Linked DNA regions of Canis lupus familiaris. The protein of the gene in region 4 purifies or fractionates together with the protein of the main gene of each other region. This does not show direct contact. Links are inferred from orthologs where the notes say so. Each region holds a gene or a part of one and is shown on either strand. Other genes may lie near its edges.

Region 1 (3,500 bases), on a different chromosome or scaffold from region 4:
CTCAACACCTAAAAAGGATACCAACAATCCTTAAAAATGATACATTAATTTTACAGCTTCATATACAACTCCAAAAAAAATCTTAAACAGAATGAGAACACTGTAATAAGGTGAATTTGCTCTCTCAACTTTATGGAGTGCTTTAACACATGCAAACGCATATTTGGCTGTTTATGTATATATTTCTTAATGTTTACAATGACTCTGACAGATAAATTACAAGCAATTCATGTTAAAAAAGGGAAATTAAGGCACAGAGAAATTAATCGAGACTACCTAACCAATATGTAGCAGAACCAGGATTTAAACCTAGTATCACTCTTTCCTCCATACCAACTTCCATGCAAAAACTCAAATTACCTGAAGTCTTTCCTTCAGGCTGTGGCTGCTGAGTACCCATTGGTGCAGGCTGAAGTCCCTGTGTGCTGATTGGGGTTGCTGAGTGAATTCCCTGTGTGCCCATTGGTGCTGGCTGTATTCCTGGAGTCCCGATGGGGGCTGGCTGTATCCCCTGTGTACTGATGGGTGCTGGCTGGATCCCTTGGATATGTCGAGCATGAGAAGCATCTACTGTCATCAACTGCATGGGGTTTAGGTGGACCGTGGATGCTACCCCGACACCAGTTTGAGCTGTGATGGCAGAGTTTGGAGCCTGAGCGGAAACTGAAAATGATGCAGAAAGTGACTACAAGAATGTCAGCTCTGATTAGACACAGTCCACATAAAGAGAAAAACACTAAAATGAAAACAGAATTTTCCACCCTAAAAGATCTAAATCCTCAGTTTTGTGGTTTTTTATTTTTAAGAAGGAGAGAGAGAATCCTCAGCAGATTCCACACCCAGCACAGAGTCCAATGTGGGGCTTGATCTCATGACCCTGAGATCGTGACCTGAGCTGGAATCAAGAGTTGGATGCTCAGCCAACTGAGTCACCCAGGTGCGCTAGTCGTCGTCTTCTTTTTTTTTTTTTTAAGATTTATTTATGAGAGTGAGCGAGAGAGAGAGTGAGCGAGTGCACACAAGTTGGGGGTGGGGAGTGGGGAGGGAGAGGGAGAGAGAATTTCAAGTAGACTCAGTACAGAGCACAGAGTCTGATCTGGGGCTCAATTTCAAAATCCCAAGATCATGACCCAAGCCAAAACCGAGTCAGATGCCCAAATGACTATACCACCCAGGTGCCCCATAAATCTTATTTTTTCCCTAAGCACTACATAAAGCTCTATATATTAGAGTTTTTTCCCCTCACTTCCTATCAGTTTGATATGATGTTGCTGCAGATTACTAGAAAGAGCATTAAAACAAGAAAAAATAAATCATCTATTAAATTCCAAATAGGAACAGGCAACTGTGCTAAATAAAACTTCTTTTTTTTTTTTCAATTTTTATTTATTTATGATAGTCACAGAGAGAGAGAGAGAGAGAGAGAGGCAGAGACATAGGCAGAGGGAGAAGCAGGCTCCATGCACCGGGAGCCCGATGTGGGATTCGATCCTAGGTCTCCAGGATCGCGCCCTGGGCCAAAGGCAGGCGCCAAACCGCTGCGCCACCCAGGGATCCCTAAATAAAACTTCTGAGATACATCCGTAACTCCCAGGTCAAGAACCTTTACTCTAATTGATGGAACCACCATCACAGGTATTTCTGATATATGGCAACTATGAATTTGAACTTCCACATATCCACTGAAGAGAGAGAACAAACAAGTTTCCTTTTCACTACTGTATATATTAAAAACAAACTCAACAACAACAGAACTGAAAACAACAGTATTCCCAGGAATCAAAAAAGAATTTCTACTTATGGAAAGAATAATATAAATGATGTTTCTTCTCAGTCATCAAAACAATCCAGAAAAAGATATTTGTACCCCATATTCACTGAAACATTATTGACAATAGCCAGGATATCAAAACAACCCAAAGGGTCCACTGAGGGATAAATGGGTAGAGAGAATGGAATCTCTATCTACACACACACACACATACACACACACATAATTTAGCCTCAGAAAATTAAATCTTGCCACCCGTGACAACATGGATGAATCCTCAGGGCATTATGCTAAGTGAAATAAGCCAGACAAAGACAGAAAATCCCCAGTATGATCTCACTTATACATGGAATTTAAAAACAAATATAAACAAACCAAGTTCATAGATACAAAGAACAGACTGGTAGTTGCCAAAGGCAGGAAATGGGGGTTGGGGGTGGGAGACACAGGGAAGGGCATCAAAGATACAAACTGCCAGTTATAAAAGAAGTAAGACATGGGGATGTAATGTACAGCATGGTGACCATGGTTAACAATACTATATTGTACATCTGAAAGTTGCTAAGAGGATATTTCTTTAAGTTCTCATCACAAGAAAAAACAATTTGTAATTCTGTTGTCAATGGATGTTAACTAGACTTATGGTGATTTGATGACATACACAAATACCGTATCATTATGTTGTACCTCTGAAGCTAATATGTTTTTTTTTTAAATTTTTATTTATTTATGATAGTCACAGAGAGAGAGAGAGGGGCGCAGAGACACAGGCAGAGGGAGAAGCAGGCTCCATGCACCGGGAGCCCGACGTGGGATTCGATCCCGGGTCTCCAGGATCGCGCCCTGGGCCAAAGGCAGGCACTAAACCGCTGTGCCACCCGGGGATCCCTGAAGCTAATATGTCAATGATACCTCAATTTAAAAAAAGGGGGAAACTATGTAATTTAAATTTTATAAACCATATAGCAGTTAAGAAAAGGTAAATTGTTATCACCAATGAGAAAATTACAATGAAATGTTAGCACATTTAAATTCATAAGACTGGGCAGCCCAGGTGGCTCAGCGGTTTAGCGCCTCCTTCAGTCCAGGGTGTGATCCTGAAGACCCAGGATCGAGTCCCATGTTGGGCTCCCTGCATGGAGCCTGCTTCTCCCTCTGCCTGTGTCTCTGCCTCTCTCTCTCTCTGTGTCTCTATGAATAAATAAATAAAATCTAAAAAAGTTCTAAGTTCATAAGTTCTTCTAAGTTCATAATGACTGCTACATTGCAATTCTTCCCCTGTTGTAAAGAAAGAAAGAAAAAGAAAAAAAAGAACTAACCCCCCCAAATTATTAGTTTCTTCTTAAGAAGTGAGTAAACCTTTGTTTCTCAGTAACAGTTGTGGGCACTTGCCTGAACATGCAGTCTAGTCACCACTCCAAGCCTTTCAAGATCCAATCTCATTCCATGTTCTGCATTCTTACTCACACTACACTCCTGCCAAAACCAAACTGCTCTGTTCCAAGCACATATTCTATGCTAATACTTTATTCACACACAGGAGAGTGCTCTCCCCAAATCCTACCCCATAGCTCTGTCTTGTGCATTGAGAGGTTTTCCAAATTTCACTTCCTTTAGGAAATCACTTCTCACCTCCAACCCTACCCTCTCAAGTGGAAATAACCTCTCTTAACTCAAAAGCAGGCTGGCTTTGCTTAAGCCTCTTTTACTGGAACTTGGCACTTCCTAG
Region 2 (3,500 bases), on a different chromosome or scaffold from region 4:
GGTTTTTGAGCAGGGGAATGGTGTTATTAAAGCTGTGTGTTAGAAAAATAACTGGTCAGTGTGGCAGATAGTTTTGAGTTGAAGACAGAGGAACCAATTAGAAGTCTATTGCTATAGAGGAAGCTAGAGATGATAAGAGTTTAGTTTTCTTATCTATACAATAGGAATAATACTCCTGTTTTACCAGGTTCTTGTGAGGATCCATTAATTTTTTTTTAAGATTTTATTTATTTATTCATAGACACAGAGAGAGAGAGGCAAAGACACAGGCAGAGGGAGAAGCAGGCTCCGTGCAGGGAGCCTGATGTGGGACTCGATCCTGGGTCTCCAGGATCACACCCCAGGCTGCAGGCTGCGCCAAACCGCTACGCCACCAGGGCTGCCCCTGAGGATCCATTAAGAAAGTAAATGTAAATGTGCTTTAACCCCATAAAGTGTTTTAATATGAAAGAGGTGAACTGTGACTTATAATAATTCTGAATAGTAATGGTTATTTTTCTGTTGTGGGAGTGAATTCTTTGCAGATACGGTGAGGTGAATCACCTTGTTGCCTGCTATTCTCCAGTAGCTTTGGAATGAACCGTTTTTACACTGTGTAGTGCCTGTCGGCTAGGCTTATTTTTTTTTTTAATTTTTTAAATTTTATTTATTTATGATAGGCACACAGTGAGAGAGAGAGGCAGAGACACAGGCAGAGGGAGAAGCAGGCTCCATGCACCGGGAGCCCGACGTGGGACTCGATCCCGGGTCTCCAGGATCGCGCCCTGGGCCAAAGTCAGGCGCTAAACCGCTGTGCCACCCAGGGATCCCATCGGCTAGGCTTATATCTTTAAGTGCTGGACTCACCAGAGTCCCCTGCTTTTTTTGTTTGTTGTTCCTGTTTTGTTTTGTTTTATTTTTATTTTGTTTTTTTTTGTTTGTTTGTTTTATTTTTATTTTGGAGTTAACTCTTCCTCAAGGTGGGTGAGAATCTTGGGGACTAGAACGAAAGAGAAAGAATATGATTAGGAGATGGTTATAAAAATTCCTGGATTCTCCTGGGAGTGTATGTCTAACTGTGTCACTGAAACTGTCACTCTTTTTTCTTCAGGGGATGTTGGAAATTACTATTATGGACAAGGCCACCCAATGAAGCCTCACCGAATCCGTATGACTCACAATTTGCTACTTAACTATGGTCTCTACCGAAAAATGGAAATCTATGTGAGTTACTGGGACCCCCACCACTCCCTAACCCCATCAGCTCTAGTTATGTTATCTCATTTTCTCAACTACTCATTCATCAGATGTGTCGAATGGGCTGTTATGTGGCAGACATTGAAAGAGATTTCTGTTTTTAAAGGGTTCGCTCCAGTGCTGGAGACTGACAGGTACACAAATAAATTGTACTACAGTCTGAGGGCGTACAATTAAATAATGTACAAGATACAGAGATAATGAAAAGTGAAGGAGGAAGGGAAGCCTTGGAATGTTTCCTGGAGGTACTATCTGAGCAGAATTTTAAATATTGAATAGAATTTAGCCAGGAGTTCAGGAGGGGACTGACATTCTAGACCAAGGGAAGAGTGTAAACAAAAAGGCAAAGAGGTAAGAACAGTATGGTGTGTTTGGGGAAACTATGAGTAGTTTCTAGGTAGTGCTATAGTGTAAAGGTCTCACGGGTGTGAGTAAAGGGACCTACAGTTGGAGAGGTCAGCAAGGATTGGATATGCTGTACTATGTAATAAGCAACTCTGATGGGCCAGGATTTAAAAAAAAAAATCCAATGCCTAAAAAAAGAGCAATTGGGACTATGTTGAGCTAGACAAGTCCCTAATTACTAGAGAGCATAGACTCTAAACTGCTTGACTCAGTTCCGTCTGATTTTTGCCCACCTACCGGTTTTTATTTTATTTATTTATTTTTTAAAGATTGTATTTATTTGAGAGAGAGAGCACAAGCATATGGAGAGGGATGCCTCCACTGGTGGTGCCCCCACCATCAGTTTTTAAAGAGAAGTTAGGGATCCATATTATTCTGTAATGTGGGGCCTGATCTCAAGACCTTGAGATCGTATTCTGAGCTGAACCTGAGAGTTGGACACTTAATTGATTATGCCACCCAGGTGCTCCAAAGATTTTTTTTTTTTAAAGTAATCTCTACACCCAGTGTGGGGCTGAAACTTCAACCCCAAGATGGTGAGTTGCATGCTCTACTGACTGAGCCAGCCAGGCATCCCCAAGTAATGGATTTTAAATCAAAGAGAGATAAAACAGGTATGCATTTTATTTTTATTTATTCTTAAAATATTTTATTTATTTATTGGGGGGGTGCAGCTGGGTGGCTCAGTCGGTTAAGTGTCTGCCTTCGGCTCAGGTCATGATCTCAGGATTCTGGGATCGAGCCCCACATGAGGCTTCCTGCTTCTCCCTCTGTGCCTACTTGTGCTTTCTCTCTCTGTCAAATACATTAAAAAAATGAATTAAATTTTAGAAAATAGAGTTAGTGGGTGGGAGGGAAAGGGAGAGAGAATTTGAAGCAGACCGCATTGAGTGCAGAGCCACACATGGGGCTTGATCCTGCAACCGTGAGACTATGACTTGAGCTGAAACCAAGAGTTGGATGCTTAAACCGACTGAGCCACCCAGGTGCTAAGTAATCTGCCCGGTATGGGGTGAAAACTCTCAGCCTCGAGATCAAGAGTCACATGTTCCACCAACTGAGCCAGTCAGGAGCCTCCAGGCATGCATTTTAGTAGGGAAGCCAGTTAGGCTGTTGCAAAGGTCCAAATGAGAAAATAAAGAAGGGCTGGGAGCCTATGTTGCCTTATGGTTAGAGCCTAAGAGTCTGTGGTTAAAGTCTGTGCTGGCAGCTTAAGTAACCTAGCAACAGCAGTATCCTTCCTCACCATTCCAGAGACTGAGAGGAGATGAGTCTTCTGTCTCAGATGGCCCTGTTATGTCCCTAGAGCCACTGGAGGCAGCTGGGGAAGCAAGGAGGGAAGGTAGACAGAGGAGCAGGCAGATGTGGGACCAGAGACCTTTGTCAGGTGTGAAAGGCATCTGAGAATGAAAAACATAAAAGGTAGCAGACAGAGGTTTTGAGGGACTCTAGGGAGTAGACTAGCATTTAGATAAAAAGAGGATACCTGAATGTGGAATAGCGAGCGCCGAGACCTTCCAGAGTTCCCTCTTATACATCTATACCTTGCTAATCTGGCTCTAGCTTGCCTCCTTTTCTGTCACTCCCCTCTCAGAACCCTCAGATCAGATTCTGCCTCTTTCTACCCCATCCTGACTGGGAGGATTACTCTGCCCAGTCATATTTTACTCATCTTCAAAAGTTACCTCAAGCCCTCTTTCTCTCTTTCATTCAGTATATATATATATTTATGATAGTCACACACAGAGAGAGAGAGAGAGAGAGAGGCAGAGACACAGGCAGAGGGAGAAGCAGGCTCCATGCACCGGGAGCCCGACGTGGGACTCGATCCCGGGTCTCCAGGATCGCGCTCTGGGCCA
Region 3 (3,500 bases), on a different chromosome or scaffold from region 4:
GGCCACTGCACATGCCCCATCAGGAGCCAGTGTGCATGTCCAGGGCAGGAAGGCAGGTGAGAGCCAGGCCATCCTTCCCCAAAACCCTCTTCCTGGCTCCTCCCACCTGCTGCAAACACTGTCATCCCCCTTGAGCCCATGGCCTGCATGGTCACTCCGACCCTGTGGCGTGTGGCCCTGTACTCCCCGTGCCTGAAGCCCAGAGCCCTGGATCCCAGCCCCTGGTCACCAGGAGAAACCCCCTGGCCCACACTCTAGATGCACATTCCACTTGGTATCCCGGTGCCTCTAAGCCCCTAGCCTCCTTCACAGAGTAGGGCCCTCCCCACTACTGCAGCCAGTGGGGGTCCCCTTGTGGAATCCTTCCCTGTGGGCCTCAGGGCTTCCCAACAGCAGATGCTTTCCCAGACAAGTGTAGGTGGGGGTCTGTACACCCTGCTCCTTCCAGAAGTTTCCAGCAAATGTGGTTTTGTGAGGCTTGAGTCTGGAGGAGCCTGTGGCTTTTAGAAGGTGGTGAACAGAGGGAGGGTCACTTGGACACGGCAGACCATGCTCACCCCTGACCTGAGCAGCCCCTGCAAGCCCTGCCTTCTGCTCATCCCCAACTCCTGCCTGGCCTGTCCCTGCCGCTCCTCGGATCCAGCTCCTCTGTGTGAAGGCCCCGCTCCCTGGGGGAGCTTGTCACGTGACGGGTGCAGAGAGGATGTCATATAGCAGGTGTGCTTATCCACCCAAGCGTGAAATGCCACAGCTGTCTACCTTGTGGCTCTGGGCAAGTGCTTCAGCCAGAGCTGCTGCCATCTGGTGGCTCCTCAGTAGCTGCCACCCTCCCGATGCTTTGGGAAACTGAGGATGAAATCCCTGGGAGCCCCTGAGCTCAGGGTCCCAGGTGAGAGGCTGGTGCCTCCAATGACACGGGCCTGTCTCCCCATGTCCCCACAGCACCTGGCTCGGTATGTGGAGCAGTATGTGGGGACCGAGGGGGCATCCAGCTCGCCCACCGAGGGCTTTCTCCTGAAGCCCGTGTTCCTGCAAAGGTAAGAGGACCCCCAGATGTGGTTCCTTCCCGGGGGACCCGCTCCCACCACCGGCAGCAGCAGGGCCCAGCACCAGGGCCTGACTGGTTTTCCCCGTGTTGCTGGCCAAAGGGGTAGGGTAGTGGTTTCCACCACATCGGTCTGCATTTGTCTGACCCCGGGGAAGTCAGCCGTCTTCCCGGCGTTTACGGGCTGTGAGGATTTCCCAGTCTGCAGATCCTCCTCTCGCCTCCAGGAACCTCAAGAAGTTCCGCAGGTGGCAGTGTGAGCAGGTGCGTGCCCTGCGCGGCGAGGCCAAGAGCTCCTGGAAGCGGCTGGTCGGGGTCGAGAGCGCCTGCAACGTGGACTGTCGCTTCAAGCTCAGCACCCACAAGATGATGTTCATCGTCAACTCCGAGGACTACATGTACCGCCGTGGGACCCTCTGCCGGGCCAAGCAGGTGCCCCTCTCTGCCCGGGGCCTGGGAGCCACGGCTGTCTGGGAGTGGTGTGCACCCTTTTTCCCCCCAGGATCCGGCCCACGGCTATCTGGGGCTGCCCTGACTCCCCTCCCCACCCCCTTCTGCAGGTACAACCACTGGTCCTGCTGCGCCACCACCAGCACTTTGAGGAGTGGCATGGCCGCTGGCTGGAGGACAACGTGACAGTGGAGGCGGCTGGCCTGGTGCAGGACTGGCTGATGGGCGAGGAGGACGAGGACATGGTGCCCTGCAAGACCCTCTGTGAGACGGCACACGTGCACGGCCTGCCTGTGACCCGCTACCGAGTGCAGTACAGCCGCCGCCCAGCCTCGCCCTGACTCCCTCGGTGGGCGCCATGACGCGCGGTTTGGTGCAGCCACTTCCCTGGCCCAGATGTGCATCGGGGCCTTCTCATGAACAACCTGAGGGGAGCACAGTGTCCCCCAGCCTTGCTGCTACAGGCTGCGAGCTCTAGAGGATAGGGTTGTGTCGGCTTGTGGCCCTGTGCTACCATCCCTTTCGGCTTCCCTGCTTCCTTTGGGTTTATCCCGTGCCAAACCTGACCCCTTCCTGCACTTGAACTCGGGGCTCGCTCCTTGCTGGAAGGGGGAGGATCAACACGCTGGCCGAGGAGCAAGTGATGGCCTTTATGCACCTGCTGGGCCGCTTTCATCACACGTGCCAAATCCCTAGGTGAGGGCACCACTGGTCCTTTTGTGCAGTGTCTGGAAAAGTCCGTGATGAACTGCGCGTTGGGGGGCATGTGTGGGGGAGGGGGTCGGCATTCAAGAGACCCCAACATCGAAGGAGTCGGGCCTGGGGGATCTGCTTGAAAAGCTTGTCCTTCCTGAATGGTTCTAAAAGCTTCTGGAAATTTCCCAAGCTGGGACCATGCCTGCATCTGATAGTTTGGGCATGGGTGTGGCCCTGCTAATGCGTGGGGTCCTTGGTCACTTTGAAAGCAGGAGGAGCCCTTTGGGCCAAACTGTTGAGATTCTGCTTTGGTGTCAGGATGTGGCATGGGAGGCCCCACCCTGGAAGAAATGGGACTCCAAACCCTGTGTTGACATGGCAGCCACACTCCGAGCTCCCGAGGGGAGGGGGCTCAGCCTGAAACTCCCTTGGAGCTCGAGTGGCCCCACACTGGTGGGGGGGCCAGAGGTGCGGCCATGTACCTAAGAAGGACATTCTAGAAATATATATATGCACACAAGTATTTATTCATAAGCTCTCCTAGTGGTTGTAACTTCTGCAGCAGCCAAGTCCCACGGTTCCTTGGGCAGTTGAGAGCCCTCTTCGTGGGACTCTGCAGGTCTGCCCTTGACGTTGCCATTCCTAGAGCCACCACCTGGACAGGGGACAGGCATGAGGGGCTGAGGCGACTGCCCTACAGAGGCTTTCTGTGCCAAGAATGCCAAGCAGTCTGGGCTGGGGACCAGCTCTCTAGAATTCCTGCACCATGAAAAGTCCTGGCCGGGCTCCTGGCACCATCAGAAGGGGGTCAACCAACAGGGGCTCCAGAACCATCCCCGTGCGGCCTCCTTTCTGCCCAGCAGCAGCCCTCACCCTCCCAAAACTGAGCTGTGCCAAATATGCAGTTCTGGGGATTGGAGATGTGTTTCTAGAAGTTACCTGTGGAACTCAAGGTTTGCAAAGCCTTTGACTCGGGGTCTGGGCGATTCCAGGGCCAGTGTGCCCTGCCCAGGGTCTTCTAGCCCATGTTTGCTCAAGTGTACCAGGCACTTTGTCCACATCCTTGTTTTATAAGAAGGGAACTTACCGGAATTCCTGAACCAGACCCTCCCAGCGCCATCCTCCGGAGCCCGTGGCCCCTTCCGTGCCTCTCTGCGGCCCTGGGGTGCGGGCCACACCCCACTGAGCCCCGCCCTGCATGCTTCTAGGGAGCGTCTCTTCTGTTTTTGAAGAATTTCTGTTCTGGGGCTTGTACTTCCTTTGCAGCTGTTTTGAATGTAGTTTTTCCTTTTCTATTTATTTGCACATT
Region 4 (4,069 bases):
TTTCTTGTTACCCACAGCTAGACAAGGGACATCCTAAATTTGTTCATTAATAACAGTGTCTCCTACTCAGATGGAATCATATGCATTAATTTATGTGGGTATTCAGTTCTCTTTCTCTCTTTTTTTTAAGATTTTATTTATTCATGAGAGACACAGAGAGAAGCAGAGACATAGGTGGAGGGAGAAACAGGTTCGCTATGGGGAGCCGGATGTGGGACTCGATCCCAGGACCCCAGGATCACACTCTGAGCCAAAGGCAGACACTCAACCGCTGAACCACCCAAGTTCCCCCAGTTCTCTCCCTTTCTAAGTTTCCACACAGCACCTTCCTTATGTCGGCGTAATTAACTTCCTGCAGGCAAAATGTTCTGCTTGCTCAGTTCGGAGTTGTTAGCAAGTTATTGGGTGGGGAAGAGCACCTTTTAAAAAATTAATATTCTAAGAAATGAGGCGGCAGTAATGTACGGCGCTTGGGTGTGATCATGTAAACAAGGCAGCCGGGACGCTACCATTTTTTAGGTAAACGTTTTCATCTGTAAAATTGGAGAAATACCTTATTGAGTACACCTAGACAAACAGAAAGGACTCCCACGGACGGGGAAAAACATCCTTTTGCTGACCCACGGATGGAATATCAGCATCTTTGCCTTTTCGTTTTCAATAAAGCTCCAATTAGGGGAGGAGCCAGGCTCTGGGAGATGATCACAAAAACTCTAGATGTCAGCGTTTCCCAACCTATAAAGGGGGTGGTTCAAGCCGTTCAGCCGTTTCAATGGAAGGAGGTCACCTCCACCTCCCAGGACCCTTCAACCCCTCTGCCTCTCAGGTCGCTAAGGCTCCTCGCTTTAGTTCTGGCTCCTTGCGCCGCCTGGCGGCCATTTCCAGAAGTGGCCAGCGAGCTTCGGGGGTCCTAGCCGCGGCCAGGGACGTCCAAGGATTTGCCTAACTCTAGAGAACGTTGTCTCTGCCCCTCCCACCGCCCGTCGAGGACTTTTAAGACTGCGATGAAGTCGCTGAGGTTAAAACGAAGGGGGCGTCGGGCGGCGTCTCCTCCCCAGGGATGACGGAGTCGGGCGGTCCCCGGGCAGCCCACGACCCGGAAGTCGCCGCCGGCGCGAGGCCCCCGTTGCCGAGCGCGGGCGCGCGGGGCGGGGCTTGGCGGAGACGGGGAAGGGGTTCCCGCGGCGGCCGCGGCTCCCGCTCGTCGGCTCGGCGGCTCCCCCGGGGGCTGCGAGGCGGGCGTCGAGTCCGCAGGGCGCGCGGCCGCGGCCGCTGGGTGGGACGCTCAGCCGCGGCCAGAGGCGACATGAGCGCTGCAGGGCTGTTGGCCCCGGCCCCGGCCCCGGCTGGAGCGCCGCCGGCTCCGGAGTTCTACCCAGAGGAGGACGAGGAGCTGGAGAGCGCCGAGGACGACGAGCGCAGCTGCCGGGGCCGCGAGTCGGACGAAGGTGCGTCCTGCGGCCGCCGGGGGCGGGGGCGGGGGCCGGGGCCGGGGCCGTCCGCCGCCGCGGGAGTGAGGGCGCTGCCCGGAGCGCAGTCCGGGCCCGGGGGAAGCTGACGGGGCCGCTGGGAGGAGCGCGGCTGCAGGAAGTGACCCCCACGGGCTCTGGGGCCGGGGCCGCGGGGGGTCCGGGGGGGACGTCGTGCCCTCACGGTCGCGGGAAGGAGGGCCTGGGGGAGCTGCTGTCGGAGCCGGAGGGCCCTTTAAGGCTCCTTTCCACTCCCGCAAGCGCCTCTGGCGAGCCTGCGCTCCGGGCTTTGCTGGTCGGGATGAGGAAGCTTTCCTCAGAGTACCTTGAGGACCCGCCCCCGCCCCCGCCCCCTCCCCCTTTTAGGTCCGGAGAGGCTCCGGGTGAAGGCCAGTTTGGCCTCCAGGTCCCCAGCTTGCTCGCCCCGACCGTGCGGCCAGCCCGGTGCAGGTGGAGAGTTCGGGTTGCTGAGAAGGCGCTGGGACCAGCCAGGTCAGGGTCTCGGTTTGCCCCGCCGAACCCAGCTTCGTGACCTTAGGCCGCTTATTACTTGAGCTTGCGAGCCTCAGTTTCCTCAGCCCGGAGCGGGGCTTCCTAGCGCAGGCGTGTGGGGGTTAGAGGGGGCGTGCGGGCCGCGCTGGGCCCGGTCGGCCGAGGAGGTCTCCACCGCGCCGGGGAAGCAGGCCCAGGCGAAGATCGGGATTTGCCTAATGGTGCCCGGGTGTTGTGTCTTCAGCCCCACGTTCTTCGTGTTATCATTGCTGCCTTCTCAGAGCCTGGCTCTTCAGACTGGGCTTTTCGGTTTGGCAAGTGTGAGGAAGACTGTTTTGGAGGGATTGAGGAAGGAGCTTACTGGAGACGGAGAAAGGTGAGGGGGAAAGAAAAAAAAAAGACGGGAGAAGAGAGGAGATAGAGACCAGCATGTGGGTAGAATATTCTGGCTGTGGAGCAGAAGGTTGGGCTCGCTGCCTGGAACAAGGAACATGCTTGGTTCCTCTCAGTTCCCCACGGTGGCCGGCCGATGACAGGAGTTCAGCGAAGGCCTCCTGACTGAGAGAGAGGCCAGGGCTCTGTGGAGACTCGGAGCTGCAGCAGCCTTTAAGGAGGCAGAGACGTGTGCACATGATCCAAGTCCAAGGAACTAATTGCGTTTGATTGAATTACATTCGAGGACGGGGCTTCACTAGGGGTTTTGAAAGTGAAACACTTGGGACCGCTCTAAATGCCCACTAGGGGGAGCCGAGAAGCCGAAATTGATTTTTATTCCCGGCCTGGAGTAGGGCTGTTGAAATAATGTAGACCCTTCACTATTGACATAGTCTAAGAACAGCGTTTGAAAAGTTCTGCAACACTTTCTCTTCGATCATCTTCCCCCTTTCATTGTAACTTTTTTTTTTTAAGTTTTATTTATTTATTCATGATAGACACACGGAGGCAGAGACACAGGCAGAGGGAGAAGCAGGCTCCATCCCAGGACTCCAGGATCACGCCCTGGGTCAAAAGCAGGCGCTAAACCGCTGAGCCACCCAGGAATCCCCTTATTGTAACTTTGAAAACATTTTAGTTTGTTAGGGTTCATTGGTTTGGATTCTTCTTTGTGTATATAGGGTTGTCAAATCTGCTGAAAGTTCCAAACTGGGGGTAGACCAGAAGAGAATGGACTCATTAGGTCATTTTGGAGTAACAAGCAAGGCCTGTCCGCCTGTAGTTGTCCTGACATTCGCAGCTCCAGATACTGAACTGCCAGCATGACTTCTCTCGTGAAGTTGCAGCCTTGACCATGACTGCCTACCTCTGAGGCACCGCACCCTGTTCTCTGGCTGTACTTCAGGTGAAGGCAGCTCGTTGCATAAATCTGGTCATGTCTAAACTGGAAAGGGCATTTTCTTTCCTGAAGTAACTGTAATATTTTTCACTGATGGCTTCATGCAGGCCTGCATTCATTTGACAGAAGTTTAAGTGTCACTGTGTCAGGTGATACCAACTTTATGAATTATGATTTTAACCTTTCTTCCCTGATTTTTTAGACACAGAAGATGCTAGTGAAACTGACCTGGCAAAGCATGATGAAGAGGACTATGTAGAAATGAAGGAACAGTGAGTATGAGTCTTAAATTTCTTGTTTGGAATCTACAGTTGACAGGGAAGTCATGACAGTGACCTTGTATTTATGATTTTGACCATAGAGCTTCCAGAGATCATGTGTATGTATACAGTTTCCCCCTTAAATTTGTCCTGTTTAATCGATCTTCCTGTTAAAACAATCTTTTGAGGGTTGGCTAGGAAGAACCTTGAGGGAGATGATCCCAGGGAAATAAAACCATCAGGAGAGAACTGTTTCCCACTCCTTTGAGGTTTTTTTTTTTTTTTTTTTCTTTTCTATATGTGAAAACCATTACTCAGAGTAAAGGATGTGTCATAGCTATTTGGTTCTCAGATGGGGGTGACCCTGCTGAGAGCTGACGGTGTGCAGGATGCCCGGAGAGCTCAGGGAGTCCTGGACTGGAGAGCAAGACTCCCGACTCCTGCTCCAGTACTCTTTCCACTTGTCACACATCCAGGCTCAAGCCTTCTCTAAATGCGCCCAGAGAAACGAAAAC
Region 5 (3,021 bases), on a different chromosome or scaffold from region 4:
TGACACGACTGAAGAGTTCTCCCAACTGTTTTTTTCAGGAGACCAATCCCATCCTGAGGCCTTCCAGAGGCCCCAAAATTACCTCCTTAGCTTAAACTCAGGTATGGCCAAAAGGGGCTCCTTAAAAACAGACTCCTACCACTTAGACAACCTTAAGGGTTTTAGGATCTTGGACAAACACTGAATATTCACTTGTTTAACAATTCTATTGTTCTTTTACCACTATTCTAAAAACACGGAGCAAAAGAACAAACTGGCCTGAAGATGATGTAGTTCAATATCCTGCAACATTCCACAGCAACTAAAATAGGTTTAATTGACAGGCTATCCCAAGGCAGCACATATCACCCTCCTGTCAGAACTCTTAACTTTAGGGGCACCTGCGTAGCTCAGTTGGTTAAAAGACTGCCTTTGGCTCAGGATATGATCTCAGGGTCCTGGGATTGAGGCCCATCTGAGGACATTGGTCTCGCTGCTCAGTGGGGAGCCCACTTCTCTTTCTCCCTTTGCCCCCCACCCCACACATGTGTGCATAAATAAAATCTTAAAAAATGTTTAAAGAGCTCTTAACTTTTTATATTAATTATCTATGCATATATTACAAGGAAAAAGGTGAGGTAGATTTTCTGTTTATATGTGTAATACGTACTTATTATTACAAATCGTAATAGTGATAGGTATATAAAGAAATCCAAAGGGCAGCCTGGGTGGCTCAGCAGTTTAGCGCTGCCTTCAGCCCAGAGCATGATCCTGGAGATCCAGGATCGAGTCCCATGTCGGGTTCCCTGCATGGAGCCTGTTTCTCCTGCCTGTGTCTCTGCCTCTCTCTCTGTGTATCTCATGAATAAATAAATAAAATCTTTAAAAAAAAAAAAAAAAAAGAAATAAAAAAACTCCCTAAATATACCAATCTTATGGCAAAGAGCCTCCTAAATAATTACATATAATTAAATTCAAGACTAGCTATAATAATATGAGGGATTATAAAATGCTATTTATTGTCCAACGATCTGCTTTTTTCCCTACTTCATGTCATGAATATCTTATGAAAACGAAGCATATTTCTTTTGGATATATAACATTTCAAAGTATGGATATACTATGTAACTTGTTAATCTCATAAGCCACAAAAACTCATTTTTTTTCTTTCCATTTCTTTTTCTTTTTCTTTTCAAGATTTATTTATTTATTTATTTATTTATTTATTTATTTATTTATTTATTAATTAATGAATGAGTGACACACAGAGAGAGGCAGAGACACAGGCAGAGGGAGAAGCAGGCTCCATGCAGGGAGCCCGATGTGGGACTTGATCCCTGGACTCCAGGACCATGCCCCGGGCAGAAGGCAGCACTAAACCGGTGAGCCACTCAGGGATCCCCTTTCTTTTCATTTCTTTAACTTTGATTAATAGTGCTATTCTTCAAGAGAGTTCTGATTATTTAAAGTATTTTTCCTTACACTGAACCAAAAATTTTCCCCTGGAGCTTATTCCTACCTCTACATCTACTTTAAAACACCAAAAGCTTTTTTTCCAAATCTTTTCATTCATCAGGCCACGATCATTCAAAAGTTATGCAATTAAAAAATGGTGGTAAAAATAAAAATTTAAAATTATAAAAATAATTTAAAAATTATTATATAAAAATTTGCCATCTTAATCATTTTTAAGTGTTCAGTTCAGTGGCATTCACCTTGTCTGCAACTATCACCACCATTCATCTCCAGAAGGCCAATGTTTCTTATATTGCTATATATTAGACAATTTAATAAAGATATCTTATTAAATTCCAAGCACTCGGGAAATTCAAAAACGGGTAATCAATTCCCAATTGGGGTAAAAGGGGCAGGAGTATTTTGGGAATCTAGTAACACTTCATGGAGAAATGGCAGTATGTGATTCTGTGCCATTGTGGTAGAAACTGTGCTAGGGGGATGCCTGGGTGGTTGAGCGTTTTGCCTTTGGTCCAGGGTATGATCTCGGAGTCCTGGGATCAAGCCCCACATCGGGCTTCCTGCCTGGAGCCTGCTTCTGTGCATCTCTGCCTCTCTCTCTCTGTGGGTCTCTCATGAATAAATAAAAAAAATCTTAAAAAAAAAAAAAAAAAAAAAAGAAACTGTGCTAGGCATGTTCACAAACCACATCAAAGGAATGATCATTCCCAAAGATTCAACAGCTAGCAAAGCAGGGAAAGCAGGAGGCCAGCAAGGAGGCTATTGCAAGAGTCTAGCAAGTAGTAATGAGAACATGACCAAAAAATCAGGGTGTGTAGTAGAAATAGGAAAGTGGGGTATGTAAGTGGTTTATCTGTAAGGTGAGTACAGATACAAGAAACAATGCATACAATGTAAAATCTGTTAAGTAAACTAGACTTAGAGGTGAATAAATAATGAAGAACTCGGGCAGCCCCGGTGGCGTAGCAGTTTGGCGCCGCCTGCAGCCTGGGGTGTGATCCTGGGGCCCTGGGATTGAGTCCCACATCAGGCTCCCTGTATGGAGCCTGCTTCTCCCTCTGCCTCTCTCTCTGTCTCTATGAATAAATAAATAAAATCTTAAAAAAAAAATTAATGAAGAACTCTTGAATTTTCAAGTTGGATGCGCTGGGGGGCGGGGGGGGGGGCGGGACACTACACTGGAGCCATATAGGAAACAGGAAAATCGGGAGAAAGGGGGAATGAGGAGGAGGAGAGAAGTGTGGTTTCCTTAAGTCTGAGATAAGCAGTGTGATAAGCAGCTAAAAGCAATGAGCAGGCACTTGAAAATGATAATGTGCAGCAAATGCTAAAATCATACTTAGGAGTAAACTAACCAGAGATGCCAGCTGTATTTGTAAAGTCGATAAATATGAAGTGATACTACATCTCATTTATTTAACTTCCCCCAAATAAATGACACCACTTACCATTTGCCACACTTGCATGATATTATCTTCTGATACAGAACAAATCACCCAAGGTTCATTGGGATTCCAGGAGAAATCAGATATCTTGGCAGTGTGACCACCATGAATAAACTGGAAG
Region 6 (3,500 bases), on a different chromosome or scaffold from region 4:
GTTATATGTAAAACATCACCACCAAATCCTACCAGGATAATTTGTAGAAAATCTCAGCTCTATTATCAGAAGATCAATAGCCACCAAAATATAAAAGGTATTTGAATTATTTAAATTAAAACACGCACTTAAATATTAGGCATTTCTCCTAAAACATACAACAAATTAATCAAGGTTCTAAAAAACTTAAAAAACTTTAATTCCTTTATGATTTACTTTTTCTAAAACTCCTTAAATGCACAGAACATCCATAACTTTGAAATATATTTTAGTGAGTACTAAAAAGACAAAGCAGCTGGCTGCCTACCCAATCTTAAAGGATGGTAAGAATTAACTAGGTTCGGAGCAGCCAAGACATAGAAGGAAGGGGTAAAGCACAAGGAAACAACACGGGTACATGACACATTGCAATATATTTAGTTCCTCAGTACTGACAGGATTAAAGGGACATATTATTTATGTACATGACCCATTCGCAGCCTCTTCCCACCCCAATTATAACCTCTTCAAAAATAAGGGTAATTATTTTACATAGCTTTGTATACCTTTAGTTTATTAGCATGATAATGAACAGCTTTTAGTTTCTTACTATTTAAATATAATCATAATCTTAATATAATTCAGTATTATGTATTAAATCAATCCTGTTAATTCATTTGCCCTATCTACACAGGACTTTTAATCTAAGCCTGAACCTGTATCCAAAAAAAAGGTATAAAAAATATGTTCTACATGCATTATAGCATTTTATTGAGTAAATGAAATAATCTAAGGTAGAAATGGGTACAAAGTTCTATGAATGTATAACTTATCAAGCCACTACACCTAATTTAGTATCTGAAATTGTTCTTCTCAAAAAAAATCACTGAAGTGATTTTAAAATCATTGTTATTTAAACATTTTACAGCAAATATTGCTTTTTTTTAAAAGATTTTATTTATTTATTCATGAGAGAACAGAACTGCTGATGAGAATGAACTTCAGTATCATGCTTTAAAAAAAAAAACTGTTTCAATCATTTTAAGACATTTCTCATTCCACTTTCAAGCCAGGCAACCGCTAATAACAAAACACGTATCTATAAAAGAGAGTATCACGTAGAAGAAAATCAAAATCAAAATCACGTAGAAGAAGCTTCACTAACAAATGGAACAGATTATGTATTAACAATCCAGATTAACTAAAACACACAAAGAGAGGTAAGAGATCCGTACATACACCAAGCTAAGGCCAATCCAAGTAGACTTTTTTTTTTTTAAAAAGGCAGGGAAGTAAGGTCTCCCCACCAATACCCATCATCCCCAAGGTAACATGGGACCAAAACAAAGACTAGAGGAACATCCAGACAGCTCTTGGGCCGTCTGGCAGATGGATATCTTAATTATCCTTATTCCCAAGAGCTCAGGCTTCGGGTAGATTTTGTTTTGGGTTTTACGATTTTCTTTCCTTCTTTCTGGGAGAGAAAGTGCTCAGGTCCGCGTGAGGGCGCACCCACAAGCAGGGGGAGAGAGGGACCTGACTGTGCTGGGTGCGGAGGCCGACGCAAGCCTCGAGCTCAGCATCAGTGAGTCAACTGAGCTACCCAGGCGCCTGGTTTTTTTTGTTGTTTTTTTTAAAGCAGTTTTAGTATTTTTAATTTTTACATTGACTTTTCAAACCAGTAATTAACTAAGGAAGTATCTTCCTCAGGCGGAACACCTACATGTGGATATTCTAATGATATGCTTCTAGAAAATACTCACTGATCCTTAGTAAGATTAACATAGACTTTTAACATAGAAACGTACATCTCTGCATCTGCTTACTATACTCAGACATGTTATCTGGTCTTATTGAACGTAGAAATTTGATGTACTCATCACTGTGGTATTTTGTCATTTCTTCAGCAGTGGCTTTGTGGGGCCTCTGTGAAGAAAAACAAATGTCAGAATGGTGGAGCCACAACTGGTTACATCAGAGTCATCAAACACCACGTACACAATTTCCCCTAACAATCCTCTCAGAAGAACTAGCTCTGCCAGAAAATAAATTCCAAAGTGAATCCAAATTTATACGTGTATTTCTTAGAAATGAGTAATCAATTCCAAAGCTAATTCCTACTCCTTTAAAGCCATTAGACAGGTCTGACCCCAATTATACATTCCTTTTATTGCAGTGGAAATGGGTCAATGCTTATAAAGTTGAATCTGTTCAGGAACTCTCACTTTCCATCATAAACCGTCTGCTCTGTATCAAGTGAGACTGAGACTCAAGCTCAATTTTAAGTCTTTGTTCACAATCTCTTCCTTTCCTTTGCCTATCCTAATTATCCTTATTCCCAAGAGCTCAATTTCATTTTTAACACACTTTTCCCAGGAGGCTTCCAGAAAGTATATAATCCAACCCCTCCTTTCCTGTAAATATTTGTTATCTGAAAAAAGTAACTCATATATACTCAATACTAGTAACTGTTTCAAGTCTTTCTTTTCTCCCCAAACAGGCAAGAACTGTGTCTTGCATTTGTTTACATATACTTCCACATTAGTGCAAAAGCACTTAAGGTAGGTGTATCCTAAATGTTAGCTGTACTGTACACATCCACTAATACACTGCTCCATATGTCAGTAAGTATTTGTAGAATTTCCTACATAATTCTTCTGTAATAGTCAACTCTTCAGCAGCACAGCCAAGTAAACCACTATTGCAACAAAGATATTTAGTTTGCTAAACTGAGTTGTTGGCCAAAATGTGAAAAGGTGGGATATGAGAAACTTTTGAAAAATGGTCGAGTAAGAGGGTTAAAAACCATTCCCACACTGTTTTCTCTGAAGATTAAAACAAAAAGAGTTTGTTTTCTTCCAGAGTTTGTTTTCATCTGCTAAACGCCATTTAAGGGGATTAATAATTTCAAAGTAGATTAAAAAAAAAAAAAACAACACTGAATATTTACCAAAAGGTATACTTACGTATATTTCCATTTTTCTATATAAGCCATAATTTAGCAGCAAGTTATGGGTCATGCGGATTCTATGAGGTTTCATGGGATGACCCTGTCCATAATAGTAATTTCCAATATCACCTAAAATAGAAAAAAGACAACTGAATAGAGAATCTTTACAGTCTAAATTTATGTGTGTTCATCATCACAAGGCACTTACCACCTAATCAAGATTTAAAACTTGAAATGATCTCAGATCTTTCAATTTTCAAACTGTACTAGAAAGCCAAGATACTGGGTTACGTTAACTGTGGTAACTTCATTAATACACGTTTATTAGAGATTAAAAGCAAGCAAGCTTTTCAGATTTTCAGTTTGCCAAAATTTATTTAGGATTAGCCCTAATAAAATACTTATAACAGTAGTTTTAGTTACTTAAATTTGAAAATTAATTTTTTGTATTTATGGACAAATTCAGACGCCTAAAGCAAATTCTGAGTTTCATTGTTATTTAAACATTTTACAGCAAATATTGCTTTTTTTTTAAAAGATTTTATTTATTTATTCATGAGAGAGAGAGAGA

The links.
Region 1: the proteins of SUDS3 (region 4) and SAP130 purify together in Homo sapiens (affinity purification with western blotting; 3 studies listed by BioGRID, with this or other methods). This does not show direct contact. The link is inferred for Canis lupus familiaris from reciprocal best matches to the Homo sapiens genes SUDS3 and SAP130.
Region 2: the proteins of SUDS3 (region 4) and HDAC1 purify together in Homo sapiens (affinity purification with mass spectrometry; 9 studies listed by BioGRID and IntAct, counting the BioPlex papers as one, with this or other methods). This does not show direct contact. The link is inferred for Canis lupus familiaris from reciprocal best matches to the Homo sapiens genes SUDS3 and HDAC1.
Region 3: the proteins of SUDS3 (region 4) and SIN3B purify together in Homo sapiens (affinity purification with mass spectrometry; 3 studies listed by BioGRID and IntAct, counting the BioPlex papers as one, with this or other methods). This does not show direct contact. The link is inferred for Canis lupus familiaris from reciprocal best matches to the Homo sapiens genes SUDS3 and SIN3B.
Region 5: the proteins of SUDS3 (region 4) and RBBP4 purify together in Homo sapiens (affinity purification with mass spectrometry; 5 studies listed by BioGRID and IntAct, with this or other methods). This does not show direct contact. The link is inferred for Canis lupus familiaris from reciprocal best matches to the Homo sapiens genes SUDS3 and RBBP4.
Region 6: the proteins of SUDS3 (region 4) and HDAC2 purify together in Homo sapiens (affinity purification with mass spectrometry; 5 studies listed by BioGRID and IntAct, with this or other methods). This does not show direct contact. The link is inferred for Canis lupus familiaris from reciprocal best matches to the Homo sapiens genes SUDS3 and HDAC2.

What each region holds. Positions count from the first base shown.
Region 1 is NC_049240.1:23,985,439-23,988,938, reverse strand, and holds part of SAP130 (histone deacetylase complex subunit SAP130), read right to left. Parts: intron 664-3,500; coding exon 361-663; intron 1-360. UniProt on the Homo sapiens protein: Acts as a transcriptional repressor. May function in the assembly and/or enzymatic activity of the mSin3A corepressor complex or in mediating interactions between the complex and other regulatory complexes.
Region 2 is NC_049223.1:68,324,560-68,328,059, reverse strand, and holds part of HDAC1 (histone deacetylase 1), read left to right. Parts: intron 1-1,090; coding exon 1,091-1,203; intron 1,204-3,500. UniProt on the Homo sapiens protein: Histone deacetylase that catalyzes the deacetylation of lysine residues on the N-terminal part of the core histones (H2A, H2B, H3 and H4).
Region 3 is NC_049241.1:46,153,594-46,157,093, reverse strand, and holds part of SIN3B (paired amphipathic helix protein Sin3b), read left to right. Parts: intron 1-942; coding exon 943-1,037; intron 1,038-1,272; coding exon 1,273-1,477; intron 1,478-1,605; coding exon 1,606-1,836; 3' UTR 1,837-3,500.
Region 4 is NC_049247.1:15,056,198-15,060,266, forward strand, and holds the start of SUDS3 (sin3 histone deacetylase corepressor complex component SDS3), read left to right. Parts: upstream 1-1,269; 5' UTR 1,270-1,306; coding exon 1,307-1,448; intron 1,449-3,496; coding exon 3,497-3,566; intron 3,567-4,069.
Region 5 is NC_049223.1:68,034,542-68,037,562, forward strand, and holds part of RBBP4 (histone-binding protein RBBP4), read right to left. Parts: intron 3,015-3,021; coding exon 2,904-3,014; intron 1-2,903. UniProt on the Homo sapiens protein: Core histone-binding subunit that may target chromatin assembly factors, chromatin remodeling factors and histone deacetylases to their histone substrates in a manner that is regulated by nucleosomal DNA.
Region 6 is NC_049233.1:70,470,522-70,474,021, forward strand, and holds part of HDAC2 (histone deacetylase 2), read right to left. Parts: intron 3,059-3,500; coding exon 2,946-3,058; intron 1,906-2,945; coding exon 1,788-1,905; intron 1-1,787. UniProt on the Homo sapiens protein: Histone deacetylase that catalyzes the deacetylation of lysine residues on the N-terminal part of the core histones (H2A, H2B, H3 and H4).